Mus musculus: one gene and its partners. The protein of the gene in region 5 interacts with the protein of the main gene of each other region in a pairwise test. Links are inferred from orthologs where the notes say so. Each region holds a gene or a part of one and is shown on either strand. Other genes may lie near its edges.

Region 1 (4,074 bases), on a different chromosome or scaffold from region 5:
CACCCCCCACCGCCCTCCGGCGTCGGCGACTCCGCCGGCCTTCGGTAATTTCCGTGGGAGACGGAGCCGAGAGCTCGGCGCGGACCGAAGACAGGCCACCTCCCCTGGTCAGACCCGGCTTTATGTCTGCAGCGCCGGCGCGCACGCGCAGACGCCATCTTCCCTCCTCTCCTCCACGACCCCTCCCCCCTGCCACCTCCTCCTCCTCCTTCTCCTCGGTCAGAGCTCGACCCTCCTCCTCTCGCGCTGGGGCGCTGGTCCCTCCTCTCTTGATGCCGCGAGAGACCAGGGGATACGGAGCAGCCCGAGAAGAGCACTAGTAACAACCATCACAGCCCCCTCCTCGCCCGACGCCCTCCCACTCCCCCGCCCCGCGCCGCCACCGACCAACCCCACCTCTCATTTCTTTGAACGGCGTCGGCTGCAGCCGCTGCACCAGCCCCGTCTGGCCGCCACCGCCGCGAAAAGGAGCCACCGCCGCCCGCGGCCCCCTCCCTCCCTCTCTCCCTCCCTCCCGGTCGCGGGAGCAGCTCGGTGCCGAACCAGCCGGCGGGCCGAGAAGAGGACGCGAGCTCGCCCCTCCGCTCCCGCGCACGTCCCGCCGCCCGCCGGAGCAGCCCGGGCGCCGGCGCCCTTCCTCTCCGAGGACGTGTGGCGAGCCGAGCGCCTGCCCCGAGGGAGGAAAATGCTCGGGCTCCATGGCTGCCAGTGATGGAGCGGTCCCTGGGCTCCCGCTGCTGCTGCCGCCACCGCCGCCGCCGCCGCGCCCCGGCCGCGCTCCGCGAGGATCCGGCGTCTCTGCGCGCCCGCCCGCGCCTCGTTGCTGGGCTCACCGTACCGGGCGCCCCGCCACCGCCCCGCTCGCAGCCGCGCCGCCCGGGCCCCAGCCGCGGCCAGCCTTTCCTCCCGGAGCAGCCGTCGCGAGCCCAGGGGGTTTGAGAGGGGCCGCGGGCCGTGGGGGGAGGCCCGAGCGGGGCCGGCCGCGCCGGCAGGGGAGGTTGGAGCGACGCTGAGCTCAGGGCTCGCCGGCGGCCGCGGCGCCGGGGGTGGCGAGGGCCGGGGCGACCGCTCGCTCCGCGCTGCCTCGGTGCAGGACGAGCGGAGGGGCTTTTGCAGCGGCCGTCGCCGCGGGAGGAGGGGGTTGAGCTGGCTCCGGAGTTGGCCAAAGAAGGTGGGCATTTCTCGCTTCTCCTCGCCTCCCCCGCCCCCTCCTGGGCTCCCCTCCCTCCCGCCCCGCACCCCACGTGAAGCGGAATATAAAGGGGGGTGTGTGACTGGAGGGGGAAGTGAATGGCGAAGGACTGAAGGGGTCCCCCTTCGGTTCCCCAGCCACCTGGTTCACCCGGTTCATCCTCCCTTCCCGAAGTTAGCCCTCGAAGGCACGAGCAGCCGGCGCCTTCGGCAGAGGAGGAGGAGGAGGAGGGATCGCGTCGGGCGGAGCTTCAGGTCCTGTTCGTCTCTCCGGCTTCTCCATACAAAGATTACGGTGCAGAAGGAAATTGCACTTGCCTCCTCCGCCCCCCGGTACCCAGCACAATGCACCAGCCGCCGGAGTCCACCGCCGCGGCGGCCGCTGCTGCAGACATTAGTGCTAGGAAGATGGCGCACCCGGCAATGTTCCCTCGAAGGGGCAGCGGTGGTGGCAGCGCCTCTGCTCTCAATGCAGCAGGTACGGGCGTCAGTGGTGCTGCTCCATCTTCTGAAGATTTTCCTCCTCCTTCGCTGCTCCAGCCGCCGCCTCCTGCTGCATCTTCCACGCAGGGACCCCAGCCTCCGCCTCCACAAAGCCTGAACCTCCTCTCGCAGGCTCAGCTGCAGGGACAGCCTCTTGCGCCAGGCGGAACTCAGATGAAAAAGAAAAGTGGCTTCCAGATAACTAGCGTTACTCCGGCTCAGATCTCTGCCAGCATCAGCTCCAACAACAGCATCGCGGAGGACACCGAGAGCTACGACGATCTGGATGAGTCGCACACGGAAGATCTCTCCTCTTCCGAGATCCTCGACGTCTCCCTTTCCAGGGCCACTGACTTAGGTGAGCCTGAACGAAGCTCCTCAGAGGAGACTCTGAATAACTTCCAGGAAGCTGAGACACCTGGGGCAGTCTCTCCTAACCAGCCCCACCTTCCTCAGCCTCATTTGCCTCACCTTCCACAACAGAACGTTGTGATCAATGGGAATGCCCATCCCCACCACCTCCATCATCACCATCACCCTCATCATGGGCACCACCTTCACCATGGGCACCATCATTCATCACATGCTGCTGTGGCCGGTCCATCCATTCCCGGAGGGCCACCCTCGAGCCCAGTGTCCAGGAAACTCTCTACAACTGGAAGTTCTGATGGTGGTGTGCCAGTCGCACCTCCTCCTGCAGTACCATCGAGTGGCTTACCAGCATCAGTGATGACGAACATCCGTACTCCAAGTACTACAGGAAGCCTAGGTATAAATTCGGTTACTGGCACGAGCGCTACGAATAATGTTAACATTGCTGCTGTGGGTAGTTTCAGTCCCAGTGTGACGAACAGCGTGCATGGTAATGCTAATATAAATACAAGCAATATCCCTAATGCTGCTAGCATAAGTGGTGGGCCTGGAGTTACCAGTGTTGTTAATTCGAGTATCTTGAGTGGCATGGGCAATGGTACCGTTTCTTCCTCTCCTGTTGCTAACAGTGTCCTTAATGCAGCTGCAGGTATCACTGTGGGAGTGGTTTCCAGTCAGCAGCAGCAGCAGCAGCAGCAGCAACCAACAGTTAACACATCGAGGTTCAGGGTTGTGAAGTTAGACTCTACTTCTGAACCCTTTAAAAAAGGTCGATGGACTTGCACAGAATTCTATGAGAAGGAAAACGCTGTGCCAGCTACAGAAGGCGTGGCCGTCAATAAAGTGGTGGAGACGGTGAAGCAAACCCCCACGGAAGCATCGTCCTCGGAGAGGGAGAGCACTAGTGGGAGTTCTGTGAGCAGTAGTGTGAGCACACTGAGTCACTACACGGAGAGTGTGGGAAGTGGAGAGATGATGGGAGCCCCGGCTGTGGTGGCGCCGCAGCAGCCGCCGCTACCACCAGCGCCTCCAGGTCTTCAAGGTGTGGCTCTCCAACAGCTAGAGTTCAGTAGCCCTGCTCCACAGAGTATTGCGGCGGTTAGTATGCCACAGAGTATTTCTCAGTCACAGATGTCACAAGTACAGTTACAGCCTCAAGAGTTGAGCTTTCAGCAGAAGCAGACTCTTCAGCCTGTCCCTCTGCAAGCCACCATGAGTGCCGCAACTGGTATCCAGCCTTCCCCTGTCAGCGTGGTCGGCATCACGGCGGCTGTAGGTCAGCAGCCTTCTGTTTCCAGCCTGGCTCAACCGCAGCTGCCATATTCTCAGACAGCTCCTCCCGTGCAAACTCCTCTTCCAGGGGCACCACCCCAGCAGTTACAATATGGGCAGCAGCAACCAATGGTTCCTGCGCAGATAGCCCCAGGCCATGGCCAGCCAGTGACTCAAAATCCAACTTCAGAGTATGTGCAGCAGCAGCAGCAGCCAATATTTCAAGCAGCATTGTCCTCTGGGCAGTCCAGTTCCACGGGCACGGGGGCAGGAATATCAGTGATTCCTGTGGCTCAGGCACAGGGGATCCAGCTGCCAGGGCAGCCCACAGCAGTACAAACACAACCTGCAGGGGCGGCTGGGCAGCCCATTGGCCAGGCTCAAACAGCAGTGTCCACTGTACCAACTGGCGGTCAGATTGCAAGTATCGGTCAACAGGCAAACATACCCACTGCAGTACAGCAGCCCTCTACCCAAGTTACACCTTCAGTTATTCAGCAAGGTGCTCCTCCATCTTCACAAGTAGTCCTACCTGCTCCAACCGGGATCATTCATCAGGGAGTTCAAACCCGTGCTTCAAGCCTTCCACAACAATTGGTCATTGCACCCCAGAGTACCTTGGTAACTGTGCCTCCCCAGCCACAGGGAGTAGAAACCGTGGCCCAAGGGGTTGTTTCCCAGCAGTTGCCCACAGGCAGTCCTCTGCCCTCTGCTAGCACTATTTCTGTTACAAATCAGGTTAGTTCAGCCGCTCCT
Region 2 (2,928 bases), on a different chromosome or scaffold from region 5:
AGAACCTGGGGACAGCCAGTGCAGACATCACCCTGGACTACTGGTCCACACACCAGAGAAAAATGGCCAGCCAGCAGGATTTACAGCCTTTTATAGAGGCAGCCAGCCCACGGTGCCTAGGCGAGAATTGGAGTGGGTGAACAAAAACCCTGATCTCGGCCTATTACTCTTCTGGGGCTCAAAGTGGCCCAAATCAACTTCAAGCCCAAAAGACCTCACCTGGACAGTAGGAAGAGGCAGACACTTTTTGCTACAGTGGTCCCCATACCTAGCATCTAATTACCAAATATAGGCAGAGGACTCCCAACTGTCGCTGGGGCTCAGCTGAATATCTGATAATGATGTAGCCTGAACTGCCACCTGCACTTGCTTAGCTGTCCTGTCCCTTCAGGTAGACCTGGCCTACCCTTGCCCTGTACCTTTGCCCTCAGACCTGTAGCACTCCCAGCCACAGCCACCTCTCCAGCCTCTCTTGCACCAATAAAGAAAGGAAAGACATCTCAAAGAATAGCTTTTTATTCATATTACAACGAACTTCACATATGGCATGTATTTGACTACACTTCAAAGCTGGAGGGAATAAAATACATCTAGCTGTACAAATTATACACAGTAATAAACCAGTGTGTAAGAGAAACAGAAAAAAAAAGTGAAACAAATCCCTGTCACCTGATGTCACCTGAAAAGCACTTGTCTAGTTCTAGGGCCCAGGAAGAGCACTGAGACACTGCTCCCATATTCTGCGCTCTTCCCCTCTGGCCCTGTCTCACTGCTTTGCTCAGTAGTGATGATGTCACCCCTTGCTGCCTAGCTGGCAACGCTGGTTTGCTCTGCTCTCTTTGGGCTCTCTTTGGGCTTGGAGTAGTCCCAGGGCCGCCTGTTCTCTGTGAATCCGTACAGCTTCCTGAGGGCCACGCGCGCAGCTTCTTCCTCTGCAACGAGTACAGTTTCCCCAGGTCCCTCTGCAATCAGCTTTCTGTCACTAGGAAGAAAACAGACAGGGATCTGAACGCCGGGAAGACAGCACATGAGACAGTTATGCCTTCCATCCCATCCCATCCAAATACAACAACCTACGAGGCCCAGTTTCTCCAAGGCAAAGCATAAGGTGGCACAAGGATCAGAAGTTCACAAGGATTAGAGCTGGGTAGTGTGGCACACTCCTTTGATGCCAGCATTTGGGAGGCAGATACAGGCAGATCTCTGAGTTTGAAACAGTTAGGTCTACATGGCAAGTCCCTCAGATTAGAAAATCTTCACACAAAGATTGGAAAAATATTTGCACAAAATTTAATCTACTTATCCAAGATACTCAATGTCCACATCTACTGCTTTAATTGATTTCTTTCTCTCTCTCTCTCTCTTTCTCTCTCTCTCTCCCTGTCTCTCTGTCTCTCCCTCCCTCTCTGTCTCTCTGTCTCTCCCTCCCTCTCTGTCTCTCTGTCTCAGGAAAGCATTCCACCACTGAGCTACACCTCTACCCCACTTTAATCTTAAAACCTGAAATCCATTTCAGACAGGTTTATCTCTAACAAAACTACAAGGCTCTAAATGTGCTGACACTTTGGTAGACAGCAAAGCTCCTGTCTTCCACTCTGAGGCTCGGTTGAAGCTGCTGCCAAGAACAGATGTATTTTTTTTATATATATAGAAAATATAAGGTGAGCTTATATCCCATAAAACTCTATAGCAAACAGCTGTCCAAAAGTGACTTAGCAGGAGCTGGAGAGAAGGCTCACTGCTCAGAGCACTGGCTGTGCTTGTAAGGAACCCAGGTCGGATTTCCCGGATGAACCTAACAGCTAATAAACATCTGTAACTCTAGTTCCAGAACCGACACCTTCTTCTGGCCTCCACATGTATGTGATGCAGACATACATGCAGGCCAACACTCACACACATAAAATTTTCAAAAGTTACTACTAGCAAAACACAGATAACTTGTCTTCTATTAACAGCAGAAAGAGAAAACCAAAAAACCCACCACCATCACCAATAACAAAAACCAGATAATGACCCTATCCACCCTGCCCCACTAGGGTCTCACGGTGTAGTTCTGGGAGGCCTCTCTATAGACAGTCTGGCCTCAAACTCACAGAGATCTGCTTGCCTCCACCTCCTGAACACTAGCCTAAGATTAAAGACATGTACCTCCCCCCGCCCCCCACCCAGCTCAGAGATACAATTTTAATACTGTTAGAAGTAACACTTAAAAACTGGAAGTCTATCTTCTAGGCTTCCAATCAAAGTTAAAAAGTGAACAATGAATTTTTACTAACCAGTATAAGCCAACAAAATATAAAGGCAGAGCAGTTGTGCTTCCAGACTGCCTGGTGAGTCGAGACTCAGGAGCTGAGATGTTTCTCTTCTTCAGCTCCTCTACGAGTAGTCCCATGGGATTTACGACGGTCCACATCTCAAAGAGCTCTTTCCCCGTCATTTGTGTAATTAAAAAGTCCTGTGCATAAAATAACATTTAAATTAGAACAAAGAATATTATGGCCAGAATTCAAAATCCATTTTTACCATAAGAACTGATAGGCAATGAATGGCAAATGTACATATTAAGCACATACAGCCTGAAAATCCAAAATGCTCGGAATCTGAAACTTTTCGCACTAAAGTGTTGCTTGCAAACGTTGAGATTATAGAGTATGTTCGGTTTCTGGCTTTGGAATTCCAGCTTGAGCTTCTCCCTCATGGGCTCACACGTGCAAGGACAGCACACTCTACCAGAGTTATACCTGGATGTCCTCATAGGCTGTTGTTGTTTGTACTTTTAATAAAAATCATAGAACTTTAAATGTTTCAATTTCAAACCTAAAGAAAATGATGTCAAGCAACATAACCTATGAAAATTATTCAGAAGACTGACTCCTGCCTCAGAATTCAATACTCAAATCATTGATATTCAAAGTAGAAGCATGT
Region 3 (4,244 bases), on a different chromosome or scaffold from region 5:
AGGTCCTCACACTTATGCAAAGGAACTCTACCCACTGAGCCAGTTCCCCAGGCCACGGTATTTCTTATCTTAACCCAATCCCCGCCCAGGTCCAGTACCAGTAGCAGCTGCGCTCCAGACTCCTCCATCTCTGGCACCACTGACTGCACTGGCCGAGGCCCTCTGGGGGCAAAGGCTCCTCGAGGTAGAGATACCTCTCGAGGCCAGTCGTCTTCTGGAGGCAATCCAATGAGACTGTGGGGACAGGACAACTCTGTTAGGAGGGGCCTTTCCCAGCTCCTGTCTCCGCGGCAGCAGGAAATGTCTTTCCTTTTCCTTATCAAATACTTACTCAAAGATTTTCCCCAACTGGTCGGCTTCAGAGTTTCCACAGAAGAGAGGCCTAAGGCAGAAAAAGACTCAAAGTATGTGTTATATCAAAAATAGGGGAGTGGGGGCTGGAGAGACGGCTCAGCAGATAAGACTGCTCTTCCGGAGGTCCTGAGTTCAATTCCCAGCAACCACACGGTGGTTCACAACCATCTGTAATGTAATCTGAAGTCCTTTTCTGGTGTGTCTGAAGACAGTGAGTGTACTCACATACATGGAAATAAATACATTTTTAAAAGAAAAAAAAAATTGAGGAGTAACCGTTATGTAGACCCAACTAGAGAGTGTGGAGACGAGGAACGGGAAGATCCTAAATCCAGGGCATGCCTATATGGTTTCTTGGTTCTAGGCAAGGTGGTCAGTATGAACTGGGTAGGCTGGATGTCCCGTACCATACATGCACAAAAGCGAATGGTCAAGAACAGGCATGTCTGTAAAAGACTTGGGGGCCGACGGAGTGTGAAGTTCAGTGGCACGGAAGCATTTACTGAGTGTGTGTGAGTTCTGATTTCAACCTCTAGCACAGTAAGACAAGCAGCCAAAGCTATGTGCAACTGAAGGTAGGTTAAGAGCTTCAAGTCCCATACGGGCGGTGGTAACGCATGCCTTTAATCCCAGGGCTCTGTGAGTTCAAGGCCAACCTGATCTACGGCCAGGACTAACCCTGTACCATTAACAACAAAAAGTTTCTAGTCCCATACTTCCGACGGAACATCTCTGCAAAGATACAGCCAACGCTCCACATGTCCACGGGTGTTGCGTATGTAGACTGCAGAAGAACTTCAGGAGCTCGGTACCAGAGCGTAACCACCTGAAGAGAATAGTAGAAATGAGTGAGTGTCGACCTCACGAACCAGACCTGCCTGGCTCTGAAAACTTCATGTACAAGACTCCTCAGTTGCTATGGGAAACCACCAAGAGCTACCCCTATCACAACCTAGTCGGCTAACGCCTTTTACTGACCACAGGCGTGAGGGCCATCTGGTAGCTGTAGATTCTAGCTAGGCCAAAGTCAGCCAGCTTGACGGTCCCATTACTTGTCACTAGAATGTTCTCTGGCTTCAGGTCCCGGTGAACAATGCAGTTTGCATGAAGAAAATCCAGGCCGCTTAGAAACTGACGCATTAGATCCTGTTTTTCAAGAAGAAAGCACAGAACACCGGAAACTATGTATCACTTCAAAATCCCAACAACTTCTATTGCAAAGATCGGTCCACCCTCGCCCCCAGCCCCACCCCTACTCACCTTAATGGTCTCAACCGGCAGGCCCGGTGGAGGTGCTTTGTCCAGGTATGTCCTCAGGTCCTGGTCTATATGCTCAAACACTAGGGTGACCTTGATGTCCCGATCAGTTCGGGAAGTAGCACAGACATCCATCAGCCTGAGAAGAACAAATGATCACCAGCTAGTCGTCCCCTTTGTCTCAACGTGGCCTCTGGCGTTCTAGGGTCCCACTCCTGCCTTACGGGTCCTATTGTCCTCTCCGCCCCACTCCCAATCCAACCTTCTCACCGTACAACATTGGGATGTTCAAAGGCCTCCAGCCTCCTTAACAAGGCCACCTCACGAACTGTGCTGACGGGAAGGCCCCCTCCAGCTGCTCCTCCATTAGGAACTCTCACACTCTTGAGGGCCACAAAGTGGCCACTGTGGGGATCTCGGGCTTTGTACACCGTCCCATAGGCACCGACACCAATTTCAGCCACGGGTTCATATCGAGTGGCAGCCATTCTCGAAGCAGGGGATCTACAATCACAGAGGCTTCTAATACCAAACTCACTCTCACGGTTAGGAGGGGGATGACCCGGCGGTAACAAAGGAACTCCTGCACAAGACCTCGCCAACGCGATCAGCAACATCCCACCCCTCCACACTTCCAGGGCCCGCGCCTTAGGTAACACAAAGACTCCCATCAAACCCTCCTCCTCCGGCCACGTTTTGTCCCGGAGGAAGAAAAAGAATGCTTTCTTTCCTTTCGGAGGACATCGCACTAGGCACAAAGAGGATCACACAGTGCACAGGGTTTGCACCGAAGATTCTGCACTTCACTCTCCAAAATCACACCCTTGCCCGCGACCACAAAGGCCCCACTTCCCGCCATTGGGCCACCTTCCATAATCAGCCAGCGACGCGCACGCGTGGGGAGCTGGAGGGTGCTGGTGGTGGCGGGGACTGGTCCCCCGATCCTGGATGAGACTGCACTCACCTTACGCTCGGCTAAGAGCTCTGGAGGTGGCCCTTTATCTGGGCCCGGGAGCCGGTTCCTGCGGCGCCATACACCGGGGATCGGTCCCGGGCAGCTGGACGCTTCGGGCCAGACCATAGACACAGGCCGCGAGCTAGAGAGGCCCCCTCACCCCCACCCTCACCATGTGACCAGCTGCCAGAGAGGCGCGCGGAAACCCGGGGGGCGGGGCGGGCGCCGGACGTTCTGGACACGTGATCTTCACCCTTGCGCAGTGGGCAACCCGGGCTGCTTTGATGGGAGGGGTGTGGTGGGGAAGGGGGCGGGGCCCTGACGGCCACGTGACCTGTTGCTATCCCACGTGACCCCTTGACTTTGCGCTGGGAAGCAGAGGTGTGGTTACGCTGTGTGGCACGTGACTGGCTGCCATACCCTGACTGCCGAGGGGGTGTGTGGGGGCGAGAGAGGGTGGAGCACAAGGCGGTGTCATGGCAACCGGGCCAACCAGCTCTCAACTCTGGGCTCAAGGCCGAGCCAGAGCGCATCTTCAGTCTCACTATGGGTCTCTGAGTGGGCGGGAGGTCGAGGTGTTAGTGGGAGATCCTGGTGCCAGAAATGGTGCTGTAACATTTCCACTCCACCGCCATGGGGAAACATTCGTATTTGTGTCTTTCTTTTACTCATTCATTCAACACAATTTTACTAAGTGCTTCCTTCCAGTTGGTATGCGATGTTTTTGTTTTGGTGTCTCAGTCACTCGCCCTTTGAAGTGATGATAAAGATAACTAGTATAGGTAATTGTGGTCTTATAAAACAGGGAATAAATAATTTCTATCTGAGGAGGAAACTAGGATTAAAAGATGGACAGAAGGAAATATAATAAGCCACTGTATGGGTATGGGGGGGCAGCAATTTAATGCCCTCCCTCTTCCCAACCTGTAAACCTCCCCAGGAATATTAAAAGCAGCAAGAAGTGATTGAAAATAGGGGTTCTTGATTTTACAAGAGTCTTTACACTAAGATTGCTACATATATATGTGATTGCATAAACAGATGACAGGGTAAGCATGTCCAGGGTCAGTCACCACCACATTGCTGGAAGATGACGTGTCCTTTTGCAAACCTGCAACTCCTCGTTGGGGTCATGTTCCTATTTTTTCCCCAGTCCAGCTTAGAACATATTCTTGATCTGATCAGCGTTTCCTAAATGGTCTGCCTACAGAAATCTAGTTAGACAGAGGTAGATCTGTGTGACGATTTCGTCTGCTCCAACTCCTTTATTGTCTCCCACCTCTTAGGGATATGGGATGAAGGACCATGTTCCCATTTGTGAAAAATTGCCTAAAATCTAGAGCTATTTTAAATTGATTTGGGGTGGGGGTGCTGGGGATTGGAGTTAGTGTTTTTTTGTTTGTTTGTTTGGTTGGTTTTTTGGATTTTCGAGACAGGGTTTCTCTGTGTAGCCCTGGCTGTCCTGGAACTCACTCTGTAGACTAGGCTGGCCTCGAACTTGGAAATCTGCCTGCCTCTGCCTCCTGAGTGCTGGGATTAAAGGCGTGTGCCACCACACCCGGCTTGGAGTTAGTGTTTTTATATGCAGTAAGCATGGGTTCAGTCACTGAGCTATATTCCTGAACCCTAAATTCTAAAATCATATTTGAGACACTAGAGTTGAGGCTGGTCTCAAATT
Region 4 (4,089 bases), on a different chromosome or scaffold from region 5:
ACAAACCCTGAATTTTTGAAACAAGGACCACTGTGCCTACAGGAGACACAGGTGGGTTCCAGCAAGCCTGTCACATTTTCAAGCAACTGATCAATTGTCCTCTGTTTTATGAGTCTCTGCTTAAAAACACTGGTTTCGTACAAATGACTCCATGATTGTTAATGACTAAGAGCCAATGGCTTTAGAGGATGTTTTATCTAGGTTTGTCTGCTAATGTTTTGTTGTTTTCCTGAAGACACCTGCTGTACAGAACATATACCGTAAGTACAGTGTTTCTCCACCACATCATCTTCTGAGACACACAGGCCAGCCAGCACCAGCTGAGAGGGTTCCATTTCCCTAATGATGGCTGATACATTTTTGGCTTTCCCTGTAACGATGCTGGTACTGTGCTTTACTGTAAGGCCATTGGTTCACGGCTACCTTAACAACTTCTCTGAAGCTTCATCAAGCACTATAGATGGTAATTTCTTGTTTTTTAACAAAAATCTCAATCATTCGATTTTACCATTGAAGACTTGGGAGCCCGATAGCTCAGAGAGGCAGAGAAAGCACCCAGTTGACCTTCCTCCTCTGCTGACAGCCCAGCAAGCTTTTCCCACTCACACAAAATCCCTTCTTCAAACTGAAAGTCCCTCCCTTCTACTTCCTGTGCATCTCTCTATCCACCCTCATGACTACCTCTTATTCTCTATGATATTTTAATTATCTTATGTTCACTTCCTGTCAACTGGTTGCTTGTTCTGCCTCTTGACCTAAGTTTGAGCCACACCACAGCTACAAACAAGACTTTTTTCCTAGTAGGTCTAATCAGTCTCAGGGGGTTCACAGTGTGACTAAATAGCCTACAACAATTTCTGTTCTTTCCAGAGCAGCCTCACACACATCTCAGCAAGTTTGTTCTTCTTGTTCTGGATGGACCAGTTCTAATTTTTGAACACAGCAACTCAACCAGACAGCACTGCAATTCATGTGTGGAAGAAAAGCTTATCTGACAAGGAGGAAAGAAAATCTTCTCGTGCTCAGAACACTAGAAAATAATTCAGCACTTTATTTGGGAGTCATTTTAAACAACACATTTGCCAACAAAAATATGGCTCTAAAGAGACAGTAGAAAGAATGACCAGTTTACAGAACCAGAGAGAGAGAGAGAGAGAGAGTTCTTGTTTAACTTTGATTCCGAATACACGCACTAGACAATTCAAATTCTTAGCTGTTCCATGTTTGTCTGTGAATAATCACAAATGCACCGTGAATATTGACTTTGACCAAATTAAATCAACTTTATTAGGAATACATGATTAAGAAAACACAAAACTTGTAATAAGGACTATGTGCACAATTTTAACTCCATCCATAGATTTAAACACACCCCTTTGCTCTAATTACTAACAAGGTCCAACGCCACTGAACATTGCCCAGAGCACACCCGTTACCTCTGGTAATAGATGTCTGAGCGTCCAAACGAGGCCCCTGACTTTCGAAAGGACTCTCGGCGTTTCCAGCCAGGGCCCAGGGCTGGGCAGTCCTGCCAGGACTCAGCCATAGATGCTTCAGGGACAGAACAGAAGCCTGCAAGATTGAAAGAAAGTAGAGTATAGGGGAGAGTGGCAAAGTATTTCCAGGCCACAAAAGCAACCTGTTTCTCCCTCTTTGTTCTCCTCCAAACATGCATATCACCCTTCCTCAGTCTGAGAAGACTCGGTCCTCCTATTCTGGGTAAGAGGTCCCTAATTCTCTGGTCCTTGGGACCCTGCTTCAGTGTTCTAAGCACCCATTTAAACTTTCCTTGACCTGAGTTTCCAACGTCTCCCGGTGTTCTAGCTGCATTTATGGATCAGAGCCCCCAACTCCTCCATACACTGGATCAAACATTACCACACATTCTTCCCATTCCTCAGGTTGGAAGCCTCCCTCTTAAGTTCAAGAGTTGGCCCCAGAGCTTATTTTCCCCTCATTATTCAGACCCACAACTCTTCTCCAGTCTCGGTCCCAAGCGTCTCTATTGCTCACCCCTACAGCCGGTGTTAGCTACTCTTTCTCTAACTGTATTACCATTCTCCATTCCTCTTATCATCTTGTGAAACTTCCTTTTCCCTCCACAGTGACCTGGCCTCCCAATTTCCTAGTTTTGTGTTCCAAGACAAGGCCTTCCCTCCCAACCATCGGACATTCTACTTCTTTTTGTCCACCAAGAGTGTCCAGTCCCTCATTATTCTAACTATTTCTCCCGTCTCGAGGCCTTATCTTTGCATGATCAGCTTTGGGACGCCATTTCTATCCTGTTTAACACGAAGACTCAATGACTCTCTGAACGTTCTCTCTCTTCTACTCCTCGCCATCCTAGTCCCAGAATCTAGACACCGCTGTCAATGCCCTGAGCCACATCCCTTCCTCTTCGGTCTTTCTGTCCAGTTACCCCAGTCCCCTCTTTAAACATTCAGAGGAAGTCATTCCTTCTCCGGAGGCGAGGGCCCCCGCTAGCGTTCCGAGCCTCCACAGCCTCCTCCCGAGCTGTCGCCACTCCCACGGCTGTCTCACCAGCTTGACACCAGGCCCGCAGCTTCCTCCGCTCTAGGCCCGTGGACCCATGAGAAGGATCCCACTAGCGCGACCGGCCCGTTCCACTCTTCTTCTCTTCCTCCTCCACCAGTGCCTCTTCCAAAACAGTCGCCTCTGCGGCGGTTGCTTACTCCCGGAACCGGAAACCAAATGCTTGCCTTTGGGGCTCCGACTAGGACCAGCCGCTGTGTGTACAGCCTGGTCACGCGTGCCCTCATTGGGGAGGCTCCGCGCCTGCGCACTGCGGCTTCACAGCGGCGCGCGGATTCCCGGGGATCTTCAGCGCCTGCGCACTGACAACACCCGCAGCCCGCCGGGTCTCGGTTGCCTGTGCGTCTGCGCGCCTCGGTGCACAGGCACCTCCACCTTCCCTGCTGCTCCGCTCCAAAGTCGCTCCGGACACAAGGGGGCGTGAATGGCCTGGCCGGCTCGGCCCACTCCGAATTTCGGTCTCCACAAATAGCAGGAGCACTGAACGACGAGGTTATGCCTGTCCACTTCCTTTTCCAGGAGACATTCCGCCTTTGTTCCTGTGACTGCCTTCTTCAGGATTGGTACCCGCTTCTTTGTGGAATAGGATCGCTGCACCCTGGCCAGGTTCCTTGCTTGGGAACCAAGGAGGAGGTGTGGTGTGCAAATGAAAGACCCCCGAAGGGAGACCCTCACTCAGCCGCGGACCCAAGAAGACACTGAGACCGAACTCAAAATGTAGAGGGCAAGATTTAATAAAGCAACAGCAAGAAAGCACATAGACCAGAGCTCTGGGGTCAAAGCTCATACACCTAGTATGGTGTAGAGGAGAATCGACCTCGAGCCAAATTTTTCACAGGCTTATATAAGAAAAACTCAAGGGGGGAGAGCGGGGCAGGGAAAGTACAAGTTTGCATAACTAAGGGGTTCTGCCAAGGGACAAGGGGTTCTGCCAAGGGAATTCTACGTAACTAAGGGGTCATGTCCTATTATTTGGCAATGTACCCGGTTCATTCTGAGGTTGTTCCAGGAGGCCCTTATCTCAAAAATGTTCTTGGAACAGTCTTTAGTTGGGAGGGTTCGAACTCTAGGATGAGGAGTTCAGGAATGCATTCTGGGGTGAAGAGTTCAGGAGTGTTCTGGGAACAATCTCTAGATGGGAGGGGTCGGGCTCTGGGGTGAGGAAGAGTTCAGTAATTTTTTATCTTTATTCTTCATCCCCCACTCCTTTTAGAAAACAGCTCTAATCTTAGAGCCAGTTTTCAACCTCTTGGAGGACCCGATATTGTTGCCTTAGTACCATAACATGTACTGCATTTATCCTTTCTCTAATAAAAGCTACCAACTTATTAAGGATGCAGGGGCCAAAAGTAAGCAAAAGCATAAGTGTAATTAAAGGTCCTGCTATGGTGGAGAGGAGAGTGGTGAGCCAAGGGGACTTATTAAACCAGCTTTCGAACCATCCTTGTTGGCTTTCTCTTTCTCTTTTACGTATATCTAGGCGTTCTCTAAGTTTGGCCATAGAATCTTTGATTACTCCTGAATGGTCAACATAAA
Region 5 (4,157 bases):
TCTGCTGTGTAAGTAAACTCCGGGACCGGTTTTTTGGGCTCTGTTGCCAAGAACACGAGGGCCATGGCTGCCCAAATGTTTTGGATTCCTTAAAGACACACACAAACACACACAAGGGCTGGAAAATGATTTCGTATTTAAGAACACTTATTGTTTTCCAGATTATTTTGAGTTTGAATTTTAGTGCCTATGTTGGATGGCAACTGTCTGTAACTGCAGTTCCATAGAATCCAGTATTCTCTTCGGGCTTTTGAGGCCAACTTGCACTTATGGGCACATATGCATACACAGACACACAGGTGTACAGAAAAATATATTTTATATAGATACCTTGCAGGACATGGTGGCTCACAGGTTAATCCCAACAGGTAGAAAACAGAGGCCGGTAGATCTTTGCACAGTCTACATAGCAAGTGCCAGACCATCCAAGATTACAAAGCACGACCCCATGTTAAAACTACCACAACAAAACACTTCTTGAGTCTGCTCTTTATTTCTGTGTTTCAGCTTCCTTTACCCTTGCAGGCAGGGTTATGGGAGGACAGTGGAAGAAGACAGTGTACTTGAGTTTGGCAGTTTATTTGTAAGGCTGTTCTTAGGCTAGAGGGGTGTGAGCAGTGCTGGGAGATTGGCCAGATCTGCTGTGAAAGTAATGGCATTCAAAGATGAGTAGGCAGAAAGAAGCAAAGAAAGAAATGAGAGCTGGGCAGTGGTGGTGCACACCTTTAATCCCAGCACTTAGGAGGCAGAGGCAGGCAGATTTCTGAGTTCGAGGTCAGCCTGGGCTACAGAGAGAGTTCCAGGACAGCCAGGGCTATACAGAGAAACCCTGTCTCAAAAAAAAAAAACAAAAAAAACAAAAAAAAAAAACAAAAAAACAAAACAAAACAAAAACAAAACAAAACAAAAACAAAAAAAAACCTCAAAAAACAAAAAACCTTAATCTTGTGAAAGATGAAAACTACACAATCTCAGTGATAAAATGATGAGTTTTTTGTTGTTGTTTATTTGTATTTTTCTTATTTCCTATATGAACACTCATTAATTTTGCTAAAAAATTAATTTTATTACTAAAAAAAATCTTCAAATTAAAACAATAATCAACTATATTGGCCACCTGTAGGGGAAGAGCTTCCATAAATGACTCCGGAAAATACCTGCTTTGTCCAACTAGCCCCTTATCTGGAAATGCCCTACTTCACACATGCATACTCTCCTTAAATTCCCATAACCCCTGTACCGCAGCGCTATGCAATAAATTTGGTCCCTTCGGGCTACCGTCGGAGAGGCCGGAAGGACGCTCCCTATTGCTTCCGGACCGTCGGTTTGCTCCCCGCCCCCTCCTGCCTCCTCACGCTGTTTCCCCTCCCCCGCCGTCTCTCCTTCAGTTTGCCTGGGTTTGGCAAGGCGGAGCCCTGGAGTAAAACCTGGGGTCGGGGTTGTGAGACGCGGCCCTTGCGGTCGGGCGCCAGAGTTGTGGGGAGGACGGACTGAGGTGCGCTGAGGCCGAGGTGGACCTGGGAGGCTTGGCTGGTGCGAGGCTGGGGCTGTGTGTGGGAACTTGGCGGGAGAGGAGCGAGCCGGGGGCGGGCGGGCCTGAGGCGGCGGCTGCGGGTGGGCGCGAGGCGGTGCGTGGGTGAGGCGGTGCGTCGATGAGGCGCGGGAAAGCAGGAGGGCGGCAGGCTGGAGGCTGCTGCGGTTCTGCGTGGCCCGGGCGGCCAAGCGCCTGTGCGCGTTATTCCGAGTGTGGCTGCTGGGTGGTCGCCATGGCTTCAAGCTTTTGCTCTGATCACGTAGGGATGTCCGACTTTTCCTCTCTTCGTCCCTTTTCTTCTTTGCTGGTCGCAGACTCCCAGGGCCTGGTGCAGCCGGGAAGCCCATCCCTTGTGCAGCTGCCCTCTTGCATGGCCCTAGGAGGTTTTAAAAGCCACCTTGCCACGGGAAAGCAAAGAGCCGCGAGGAAAAGGAGGACTAAACAACCCGGGTGGAATTAGTTCATTGCGGCTCACCTGTCTCCAGCCGCCGGTGCCTCGGTTAGACTCGGTGTAGTGACAGAGCCAATTAAGGAACAAGTAGCTCCCAGAAGTATCTTCCTTGGTCGATAAGCACTCTTCGGTTTCCTGAAACCTTGTTTTAGCTAGCTCCCTGGTGCGTGTTGGAGTTCTCCAGGGTCTCCCCGCTCTTAGTTGTTACCCAGAGCTTGGGTCTGTGTGAGAAGATGAGGCTCCCCGGGAAATCTCCAGATCGCCTTGTGGAGGAGGAGGGGAGAGAACAGAGTTTGCAGGCTTTTGATTATGAGACAGAAATGGTGTGAGCCTCGGTTAGAGTTGTTTTCGCTTCTTGTTCATCCTGCACAGGGCCAAAGCATGTCCTCCCTCCCTGGGTGCATGAGTTTGGCTGCAGCGCCAGCTGCAGCTGACTCTGCAGAGATTGCTGAGCTGCAGCAGGCGGTGGTTGAAGAGCTGGGTATCTCTATGGAGGAACTTCGTCAGTACATTGATGAGGAACTGGAAAAGATGGACTGCATACAGCAGCGCAAGAAGCAGCTCGCAGAGCTGGAGACGTGGGTACTACAGAAAGAGTCTGAAGTGGCTTATGTTGATCGGCTGTTTGATGATGCATCCAGGTAGGGATTCCAGGAAGCAGAAGTAAATGTCCATCTGTGTCCTCCTTGGAGTGACTGTTGTTGTCATTGTCCTAAGCACTTTATACTTTGGCGACTTCAGTCAGGTGGGGCCTTACTCTTCCTCTGAGTTTGTAATGCAGAGTTGCAACAGAACACTTTTTCCCTGTGGGTAGCTGCTATGTGATCAGCAGTAGTTAGGTTAAAGGCTTGAATTCCCTTCTCTTCCTCCTGGACTGAACTTCCTTCCTAAGATCCCCAGAAAGTGAAGATTGTAGAGTTGCTGTCTTTTCTGTTTTTCTGAGACAGAATCCCAATACCTAAATCTTGCTGGCCTGCAACTTGCAGAGATCTGCCGACTTTTGCCTCCTAAGAGCTGCAATGAAATGATCCTAGCTTATGCTTGTTGAGTTGATTGGGGTTTCATTCGTTCATCCATTTTTGATACAAAGTCTCTTTACGTAGAATTGGCTGCCCTAGAACTCACCATATAAACCATATTGAGCTGGACTCATAGAGACCCATCTGCCTTTGTTTCTCCAGTGGTGAGATTAAAGGGATGTTTCACAGCACCCAGCAAAATGAAGTTGATATTTAAAGCTGTCTTCTTAGTTCCCAAAGCCACATAGATAATAAATATCAGATATTAGGACTTTTGTAACAGCAGGTGGAAAATTGAAGTCTAGAAAATTGTTTCATAGAAGAATTACATGGAAACAAACATTCTGTGGAAAAGCATTCTAAATAGGTACTTTGGAACATGTAGAGCAAACAGTCTATATTTAAATATACATAATTTCCTGTTACTGTGTTGTGTTTTGTATGTGGGGGGGGTTGTTTTTTGTTTTTGTTTCTGTTTTTGTTTTGTTTTATTTTTGAGACCGTTTCTTTGTAACTCTGGCTGTCCTGGAACTACCTCTGTACACCAAATTGGCCTGGAATTCAGAGATCTGCTTGCCTCTGCCTCCTGAGTGCTGGGTTCTGTTTTTGTTCTGTCTAAAGGTTTCTTACTCTGTAGGCCATGCTGGCCATGAACTGTATTGACCATGAACTCTATTGACCATGAACTCTATTGACCAAAGTGACCTCAAACCTAGCTAGTCTTGGTTCCTCAGGCTAAGGACTAGGATTACATGTGTGAGCTCAGAGGCTAGGTATTGTATAAATGTATATACATTGTAATGCTCTTGTACTGCACTGTCTCCACTGGCTTTGATCTTTTCTGCATGTGTTCCAATATCAGGGAAGTGACTAACTGTGAGTCTTTGGTGAAGGATTTCTACTCTAAGCTGGGACTACAGTATCATGACAGTAGCTCTGAGGATGAAGCTTCCCGGCCCACAGAGATCATTGAGATTCCTGATGAAGATGATGATGTCCTCAGTATTGATTCAGGTAAATGATGAAGCTTTGGTCAGAAAAGTCTTAGAATGGAAGCTGAAATACTGGAAGACAAGTATGTTGCACATAAAGAATCACATTGTCATTACTTAATATGCCAAAAACCTGACTGACTTATTATGACAACAAGTAA
Region 6 (3,500 bases), on a different chromosome or scaffold from region 5:
CAGTGCCTGTCTGGCTGCTTCTGGCATAAACTGTGCCTGTTTTGTCGATGCTCAGGTGAGACGGCGGAATGGGTCTATATTCATGCTGGCCAGGGTGCCTTGCCTGATGTTGGCCCAAGAGATTATGTTCAGTCAGGGCCAGGACTCTGACGAGTGCCAGCCCAGCCTGGACGCTTCTAATTATACATGTGCGTTTTTATAGAGCAGGCCATGTCACATGCTGTGACTATTGTGGGGATGGCTGGGTCCAGGGACCAATCACATTCATTCCAAGTTTCTGCCCTTTGGCTGTGGCATTCTCTGTCTGGAGACAAATCTGGAGCTTCCAGCTCACCTCTGTTGATAGACTGGGAGGGACTGGGGACGAAGAGAAAGGCTAGAACACTAAGGCGTGGAGCAGGAGTGTGCTCAAGAAAAGGTCTGAGGAACCAGGCAGGGTGGCAGACCTGCACACTCAGCTCCACGAACACTGAGACAGGAGATTGCTTTGAGTACCAGGCCAGCCTGGGTTACACGGTAATAACCAATCAAAAGCAAAAGATGGAAGAGATGGGGAGACAGAACAGTGAGGCCTTGGCTCTGCAGGCGTGAGTCCCTAGCACCCCTGTAAAATGCTGGGTATAGCCACGTGTCCATAACCGCAGTACTAGGGAGGCAGAGGCAGGCGGGTCCCTGGAGCTCCCTGTCGCCCATCTGAATGGCTGTGGTCTAGATTCAGTGAGAGTCCTATCTCAAACAAAGAAGGTAAAGAACTATTAAGGAAAATGCCCAGCCTTGCTGGGCAGGGGAGAGAAGCCTGGGTCTTGATTCTAGGGAGACACTGTGCTATTGAAGGTTGGCCGGCCTGAGTGACCCCGGAGGGCAGCTATCCCTGCCAACCTGCTCCTGCCTCGCACATCTCATTGCCAAGAGCCATTCTCTCTCACGTGGGATTTCTTGGTGGGAAAATGCCAGTGTAACCTCATGGTGCTTATTCTCTGGGTTTTCACTTAGGCTCTCCCTCCACCCGTCCATGGGGGCTGAAGAGCGTGCGTGCGTGTGCGTGTTTATGGGTGCCTGCAGAGGCCAAAAGAGGATATTAGATCCCTTGGAGCTAAGCTATCTGATGTGGGTACTGGGAATTGAATTCTGGTAATCTATAGGAACGAGTCATACTTTTAACTGCTGAACCATCTCCCCAGCCCTGTATGTTTTGGGACAGGATCTCATAGCTTTGAACTTTGTAATCCTTCTACCTTCAAAGTACTGGTATTATGGTGTTGGACACTGTGTCTGGTTCATTTATTGCTGGGGGTGGAGCCCAAGGCTTCATGCACACTGGGTAAGCTCTCTTCTACCAACTGAGCTACCTGGTCTGCTCCTGAAATGTATGAGTGTTTGCTATTTTTATATGTATGTCTATCAAATGTGTGCAGTGTCCATAGAAGCCAGAAGAGGTCACCAGGGCCCCTGGAGCTGAAATTAACATATGGTTGTAAGTGACCATGTGGCCCTGGCAACTGGGTCCTTTGCAAGAGTGGCACGTGCTCTTTCCTGCCGTCCACCCCGAGTTCTCTCTCTGAAAGCCCATTTTAAACATGAGCTGTGTTTAGCTTCTAAGTCTGCCCTAACAGAAGTCAGCAAGGACTTTAAGCCCAGAGCTTTGTGCACTGACCGTTCTGGAAGGAAGAGACCCTTGGTGTTGGCAGGGCCGCTTCCTTCCAGGAACTGTAGGGGAAAGTTCTAGCCTGGTGGCTCTCAACCTTCCTAACTGAGACCTTTAATACAGTTCCTCGTGTGGTGACCCCAGCCAGAAGATTATTTTTGTTTCTTACACTCTTGCCTCTCACCCCCTTGCTCCCCATTCCCTTCCCCCACTCTCCACATGGTCATGGTCGGCCCCCATGTCTCTATTCTCTCCTTTCTGCTTTTCTCTGCCTCTGCTACTCTCTCAACTCCCCTCCTCATGGCCTAAATAAACTCTATTCTATATATTTTTGTTGCTACTTAATAACTATGATGTTGCTGCTGTTATGAATCATAATGCAAATATCTAATATGTGACCCCTGTGAAAGAAAGGGTCGTTCAGCCCCCGGGGGTCGTGACCTGCAAGTTGAGAGCTGCTGTTCCAGCCTCTCTGGTGTGTAGAGGCCTCTCTCAGATGCTGGATGGAGCCTGCTGGCAAGCTCTGGGTAGCAGTGGGCAAGTGGGTGGGATGTCTTAACAGGACTGGCGGTGTGGTCTGGTCTCCGGCTCTGGGCTTACCTGCATGCTCAGCTCCCCCACGGTCTTCGTGAGGCCCTTGCCTGGGGCAGCTCACCTCATCCTCTGGACTTTTCCCAGTTTCCTGACATTGTGGATTTCTGTGAAATGATGGCCAACGAGGGCAAGACAGTAATTGTGGCAGCGCTGGATGGGACCTTCCAGAGGAAGGTAAAGATGTCTGACTCTGGCTTGGCAGAGGATCCTGAGGCAGGAAACAATATACAAGGTCTCCCCAGAAGTAGGTGTGTTCAGAATAGAAGCTATTGGCTAGTGGGTGCTCTGAACTGGCCAAAGGGTAGAGAGCAGGAGGGTGTGGCTCTCAAGAAAGCAGGATCAGTAAAGTATGATGTAGCCTGAATCATGGGGTTTAAAAGAGAAGCGTTGGCGGTGGGAAGAGCTCAAGCTGAAGCATGCTTGCCTTGCAAAGCACACAGGCTCGAGTTAGATCCTCAGGACTCTTTAAAATGCTATCACCAGGAGACAGAGACAGGCAGATCTTAGCGGCTTACTGGCAAGCTGATCTAGTCTACACTGCAAGCCCCAAGCCAGTGAGAGACCGTTTCCAAAAGCACCAAGGTAGACAGTGCAGAGGCACAGCTCCTGACGTTGCTCTCTGGCCCCCACACACATACACATGTGAACACAGGCAGAGGAGGGAGGTGCCTGGCTAACTGACCGCACACACCTGCTGTCTTCCGTGCAGGCTTTCGGCAGCATCTTGAACCTGGTGCCCCTGGCGGAGAGTGTGGTGAAGCTCACCGCTGTGTGCATGGAGTGCTTCCGAGAAGCTGCCTACACGAAGAGGCTGGGCCTGGAGAAAGAGGTACACACACACACACACACACACACACACACACACACACACACACACACACACACACACAACACACACACACACACACACACACACACACACACACACTTACTTCTGCCCAAGGAGTGGGGTGGGCTTAGGCTCTGGCTTCTGAGTCCCACCCTCACATCTCCCTCCCACCAGGTGGAGGTGATTGGGCCTGGAGAAAGAGGTATACACACACACACACACACACACACACACACTTCTGCCCAAGGAGTGGGGTGGGCTTAGGCTCCGGCTTCTGAGTCCCGCCCTCACATCTCCCTCCCACCAGGTGGAGGTGATTGGCGGAGCCGACAAGTATCACTCCGTGTGCCGCCTGTGCTACTTTAAGAAGTCTTCAGCCCAGACTGCTGGCTCAGACAACAAGAACTGTCTGGTGCTGGGGCAGCCGGGAGA
Region 7 (4,088 bases), on a different chromosome or scaffold from region 5:
CTGCCCATTTTATCTGCAAAGCTGTGACTACCCTAGGATTTACTGCGTGTTCCTGACCCAGCTAGGATCCCTGGGCTACAGGTGGGCTGATCAGATATGCACCTCCATCTGTAAGCACAGTTGTTCTGAACCTGAACAGACAGACCCACTGGGTCAAAGCATTCTGGTGAGTCCTGCACTGAAGTTACAGATGACTTGTTTTAAGTTCAGAGTCTCACACTGTAGCCCAGGTTAGCCCAAAACTCCTGGCTAGCTCCTGGTATTGGGATTACAGGCATGAGCCACTACATCTGGCTCCTAGACCACTTTTTCTTTCTTTCTTTCCTTTATTTTTGGAGACAGTCTCACCATGTGGCCACAGCTGGCCTTGACAGTCACGCACCACAGCACCTAGACTGCTTGTGATGACTGTACAAATCCAAGTAGAGAGGGGCTGGGACTGCCATCAGAGGTACAGCATCACCCCAGAGCCCAGAGTTCAGGAAATACTTCAGTGGGTGAGGTCATTGTAAGACAAACACTTCATATCAGCATTTTTAATATCCTGTACACTCTAAGCCAACATGAAGAACCTCTTTTAGAAGCACAAGCTGGGACTGGCGAAATTAAGAGTACTAGATGCTCTTCCAATGGGTTCAACTCCCAGCACCCACATGCCAGCTTATGATTGCCTGAAACTCCAGTTCCAGGGGACCTGGATGCCCTCGAACACACAAACATACAGGTAATAGTGCACATAAAATATATTAAAAAAAAAAAAGCACAAGCCACCAGGACAAGCCTTGACAATGTTGGCATTCCTTCTAAGCATACCTGGCTCTATCAAACATCCCGATTCCTTTTTTTATAAATCACAACAGACAGTACTTATGCTCCACAAACTCCAATACCAAATCACAAAGTATACAAATTAAAGGCAAGGCTCCTCTCTTACAGACCTCAAGTCCAAAACAGAGAGTCCAGCCCAAACCCAACTGTCTTTTCCTAGCACAGGAGTAGAGCCTGTCTAGGAACAAGCACCAAGGTTCTGCCACAAAACCCCAACCTGCCCTAATAGTCATCTCTTAGGCAATTTACGACCCAGGTGGCGCTCATCTAAGAGTGACTGGAGCATAGGGCTTCACTTCCAATGTGTCCCTCTTTTCAACTTCTCAACGCACAGGCCTGCCCAATCTCTTTCTCTAGCATCTTCCACTGAAGCAGCTATCCTCATCCAGCCAATCAGATGGCAGAAGATGGCAAGCAAGTCTGGGCAGGGTTTCCTAACAGGTTTCTCTCTGGAGCCCGGGGCCAGTGCTCTGGAGAAAGAAGCCTGGACACCGGGCCACACAAAGCTGTTGGGACAGCTGTAACTGACTTCAGGATAAAGTTGTGTGCCCAGAGAACTCTGTCCTAGCATCCAACTGCAGCTATCCTAAGTGAGAAGAACCGAGAAGCTAGCTCAACTGCTCTTGCCTGGACACTCAGTGTTAAGGAGACAGAACCAGGGAATCACCAAGAGTTCAAGGTTAGCCTTGGCTACAAGAGATCCTGTCTCAAAAACAGGGAGAAGTGAGAGGTGGCTCTTATCAGAACTCTTAAAGGCCTTTTGCCCCACGGTCGAGGAAAAGGAACCCTAGGAGCACCCTGGCAATGATCTAGGCAGAAACTTGGGGGGCAGTGCTGCTGCTCCCGCAAGCACTCCAAAAGCCACTTAAACACAACTTGCCTTCCCAGGCAAACAGTCACTTCACGAGCTAAAAGTTTTGTGATGCAATGACCAAACTAAACCAAACCAAACCAAAAAACCATTCCCCTCCCCACTACTAGAGACAGGAAGGACATACAGGGATGGGTCTTATGACTCCAGGCTTCCTACAGTGTACAGTATTTGTCTGGCGACACCACCTACTTCAGAGCTACTTACCGGTCAGAGAGCCTGTGCAAGGTTGCTTATCTCCGCCCACCTCGGCAGAGGGAACATGGGTACCAGGCACTACGGCTGGCTTGGATAGGGCGAAGCGGCCTCTTTTACTCGAATGCACACTGTAGGCCCTAAGGATCCTTCAGTAAGTATACCACGCTGTTTGTTAAGTTTCCAGTGGCAGAGACAGCCAGAGGAGGGCAGGACTGCGATCACTCACAGCCTGAATACCTTTAGAAAGAAAACAAACTCCCCTTCGACGCCCGTTTTCTGCTATGCAGGCAGGTAACTAACTCATCCACTAAAACAACAGTTCCTTAAGAATAAAGGAAGGTGGGGCAGAGAATATACACAAGACTCCCCCACAAAAACCCAAGCTACAAGCCTAGCGTCTCGGTAACGAACGAAGCCTTCTGATGTGACTCCGGGTGCTTACAGGCCCCGACACGGCCCAGTACTCACGGCCTTCCGCACTCTCACTCGCCTAACTACGGAGCCCAGCACCGCCCAGAACGCGTCTGGGAGCTACTGGGAAGCTCAGATTATCTGTTGCGGGGTCGGCGGAACTCAGTTCGCCAAGAGTAGGGGGGCAGTGGGCCGTGCTCCCAACCCTGTATTCTCCCGTGGCACAGCGGCTGGGCCCTAGTGCCCCGAAGGCCGAGACTCGGAGGCCGCGAGCGAGAGGAGGCCGCCGTGGCTCCGCTCGGCGCCTCCCGGAAGCTCACTGGGAACGGCGGCGAGTCCGGGCGAAGATGGGAGTGCGTGCGCAGGCCGGTGGCGGCTCACCTGGGCGACCGCGGCCCGGACCGTCGCGGCGGCAGAGGCGGCGGCGCTCCTTTGTCTCGGGACTTCCCTCCGCGCCCGCCGCGCGCAGCACGGAGCGCAGGACCCCAGCGGGCGGGGCGGGGCCTGAGCTGGGCTGCCCGCCACACGCCTGCTCAGCTTACCGTCCCTCCCGTCCGGTGGCCTACGCGTCTACTTAAACACGAGCTTCCCGCAGCCCGCACGCGGCTGCCGCGCCCTCGTTGCCCGCGACCGCCTAAGGAGCCCGAGCCCAGGGCGCCTGTCCAAGCAGGCGGTGCCCTGAACGGCCGCACTCTTAAAGGGGCCGCGTCCTAGGCTCGAGGGAGCGTCTGCAAACTCCTCTTCGGGATGAGCGCGTCCACTCGAGGACACATCAGAGAGTCGTGTGAGGAAAAAGAAGCATAGATTCCCAAGGGTCATCCGGATGCTCAGAGGGCACCTTCCCGGGCACAGGCTCTGGAGGTATCCTTGGGCTCAAGGCCCGAGTCCCGGGAGCAAAGATCACTGAGGCCTAAACATCCTGGGAATCGTCGCAGTACGGTGACGATCCCCGGAACTTAGCGCGCTGTGACACTTTCTGCAATTGGCCAGCTCAGGAACTTGGGCGGGGTGAACCTCGAAACTATCCAATGAACTAGCCTCATACAAAGGGCCAAACGCAAGCAAAACCGACGGGGAGAGAAATGTGGATGCTCCCTAACCTACGAGTTAGCCCCCTAGTGGGGGAGGGGAATGGGCCTGCGCCGTGGGGGAGGGGCAGCACCCGCGGACCCCCCCCCCCGCGCGCGCGCCCCAGGCCTCTTCCCTGTGCCGCACCCCACACCTTAGTTCCACCTGAAACCCCTGTGCGGCTTCTGCTGGCCCCGCTGGACACGCTTTTGTCACGCCGTGGCCTAGTCCAGTTTCCTCGGCCAGTCCTCTGCAACCCAGCTCGGATGCTTCCTCACCGACTCACCGACGGGACGGGTACTTAGAACCGTCGGCTGGCCCCCTGGTGGCCATTCTGGCGCCTGCTCCTTTTTTTTTGGCACGTGCTGGAGGCCTTTCGGGGCCAGTTGCAGCCAACAAGGGCTTCCTGGGAATTTGGACTATGGGTCCAATTGCTGCCAGGGACTCCAGTGTTCATCTGTCAGTATCTCCGTCCATCTACTCACCACTCTCTCCTTCCTTCGTTCTCCTCTTACCTTTTGAGGTTGTTGGGTGCCCCAAAACAGGAACTAAGGTCCCATGCCCCTTGCCCACAATTGTCCAACATTCCCTGGAGCTCACCCTGTTAATTCCTCCTGTTCGTAGCCGTACTGTTTAAGAGTTAAGATCACAGTGAGCACCAGATCCTGAGGGACCTTGGTCTCTCATTGGGGCTGAGTTGTAGACAAGGTCG

What was found.
Region 1: the proteins of Setdb1 (region 5) and Tsc22d1 interact in a two-hybrid assay, tested with the Homo sapiens proteins (2 studies listed by BioGRID and IntAct). The link is inferred for Mus musculus from reciprocal best matches to the Homo sapiens genes SETDB1 and TSC22D1.
Region 2: the proteins of Setdb1 (region 5) and Mrpl44 interact in a two-hybrid assay, tested with the Homo sapiens proteins (2 studies listed by BioGRID and IntAct). The link is inferred for Mus musculus from reciprocal best matches to the Homo sapiens genes SETDB1 and MRPL44.
Region 3: the proteins of Setdb1 (region 5) and Cdk4 interact in a two-hybrid assay, tested with the Homo sapiens proteins (2 studies listed by BioGRID and IntAct). The link is inferred for Mus musculus from reciprocal best matches to the Homo sapiens genes SETDB1 and CDK4.
Region 4: the proteins of Setdb1 (region 5) and Mbd1 interact in binary tests that used the Homo sapiens proteins (3 or more experiments, as listed by UniProt). The link is inferred for Mus musculus from reciprocal best matches to the Homo sapiens genes SETDB1 and MBD1.
Region 6: the proteins of Setdb1 (region 5) and Tk1 interact in a two-hybrid assay, tested with the Homo sapiens proteins (2 studies listed by BioGRID and IntAct). The link is inferred for Mus musculus from reciprocal best matches to the Homo sapiens genes SETDB1 and TK1.
Region 7: the proteins of Setdb1 (region 5) and Ube2i interact in a two-hybrid assay, tested with the Homo sapiens proteins (2 studies listed by BioGRID and IntAct). The link is inferred for Mus musculus from reciprocal best matches to the Homo sapiens genes SETDB1 and UBE2I.

What each region holds. Positions count from the first base shown.
Region 1 is NC_000080.6:76,414,547-76,418,620, forward strand, and holds the start of Tsc22d1 (TSC22 domain family protein 1), read left to right. Parts: upstream 1-1,274; 5' UTR 1,275-1,536; coding exon 1,537-4,074. UniProt on the Homo sapiens protein: Transcriptional repressor. Acts on the C-type natriuretic peptide (CNP) promoter. Acts to promote CASP3-mediated apoptosis.
Region 2 is NC_000067.6:79,779,018-79,781,945, reverse strand, and holds the end of Mrpl44 (39S ribosomal protein L44, mitochondrial precursor), read right to left. Parts: intron 2,459-2,928; coding exon 2,280-2,458; intron 983-2,279; coding exon 808-982; 3' UTR 501-807; downstream 1-500. UniProt on the Homo sapiens protein: Component of the 39S subunit of mitochondrial ribosome. May have a function in the assembly/stability of nascent mitochondrial polypeptides exiting the ribosome.
Region 3 is NC_000076.6:127,062,091-127,066,334, reverse strand, and holds the start of Cdk4 (cyclin-dependent kinase 4), read right to left. Parts: upstream 2,801-4,244; 5' UTR 2,576-2,800; intron 2,116-2,575; 5' UTR 2,100-2,115; coding exon 1,882-2,099; intron 1,751-1,881; coding exon 1,615-1,750; intron 1,501-1,614; coding exon 1,333-1,500; intron 1,181-1,332; coding exon 1,071-1,180; intron 383-1,070; coding exon 332-382; intron 235-331; coding exon 99-234; intron 1-98.
Region 4 is NC_000084.6:74,266,886-74,270,974, reverse strand, and holds the start of Mbd1 (methyl-CpG-binding domain protein 1), read right to left. Parts: upstream 2,801-4,089; 5' UTR 2,542-2,800; intron 1,573-2,541; 5' UTR 1,547-1,572; coding exon 1,437-1,546; intron 1-1,436. UniProt on the Homo sapiens protein: Transcriptional repressor that binds CpG islands in promoters where the DNA is methylated at position 5 of cytosine within CpG dinucleotides. Binding is abolished by the presence of 7-mG that is produced by DNA damage by methylmethanesulfonate (MMS).
Region 5 is NC_000069.6:95,354,403-95,358,559, reverse strand, and holds the start of Setdb1 (histone-lysine N-methyltransferase SETDB1), read left to right. Parts: upstream 1-1,357; 5' UTR 1,358-1,495; exon of another isoform or gene 1,496-1,533; intron 1,534-2,357; 5' UTR 2,358-2,366; coding exon 2,367-2,626; intron 2,627-3,866; coding exon 3,867-4,018; intron 4,019-4,157. UniProt on the Homo sapiens protein: Histone methyltransferase that specifically trimethylates 'Lys-9' of histone H3. H3 'Lys-9' trimethylation represents a specific tag for epigenetic transcriptional repression by recruiting HP1 (CBX1, CBX3 and/or CBX5) proteins to methylated histones.
Region 6 is NC_000077.6:117,816,015-117,819,514, reverse strand, and holds part of Tk1 (thymidine kinase, cytosolic), read left to right. Parts: intron 1-2,323; coding exon 2,324-2,413; intron 2,414-2,948; coding exon 2,949-3,068; intron 3,069-3,242; coding exon of another isoform or gene 3,243-3,332; exon of another isoform or gene 3,333-3,369; intron 3,370-3,375; coding exon 3,376-3,500. UniProt on the Homo sapiens protein: Cell-cycle-regulated enzyme of importance in nucleotide metabolism. Catalyzes the first enzymatic step in the salvage pathway converting thymidine into thymidine monophosphate.
Region 7 is NC_000083.6:25,270,632-25,274,719, forward strand, and holds the start of Ube2i (SUMO-conjugating enzyme UBC9), read right to left. Parts: upstream 2,801-4,088; 5' UTR 2,690-2,800; intron 2,135-2,689; exon of another isoform or gene 1,907-2,134; intron 1-1,906. UniProt on the Homo sapiens protein: Accepts the ubiquitin-like proteins SUMO1, SUMO2, SUMO3, SUMO4 and SUMO1P1/SUMO5 from the UBLE1A-UBLE1B E1 complex and catalyzes their covalent attachment to other proteins with the help of an E3 ligase such as RANBP2, CBX4 and ZNF451.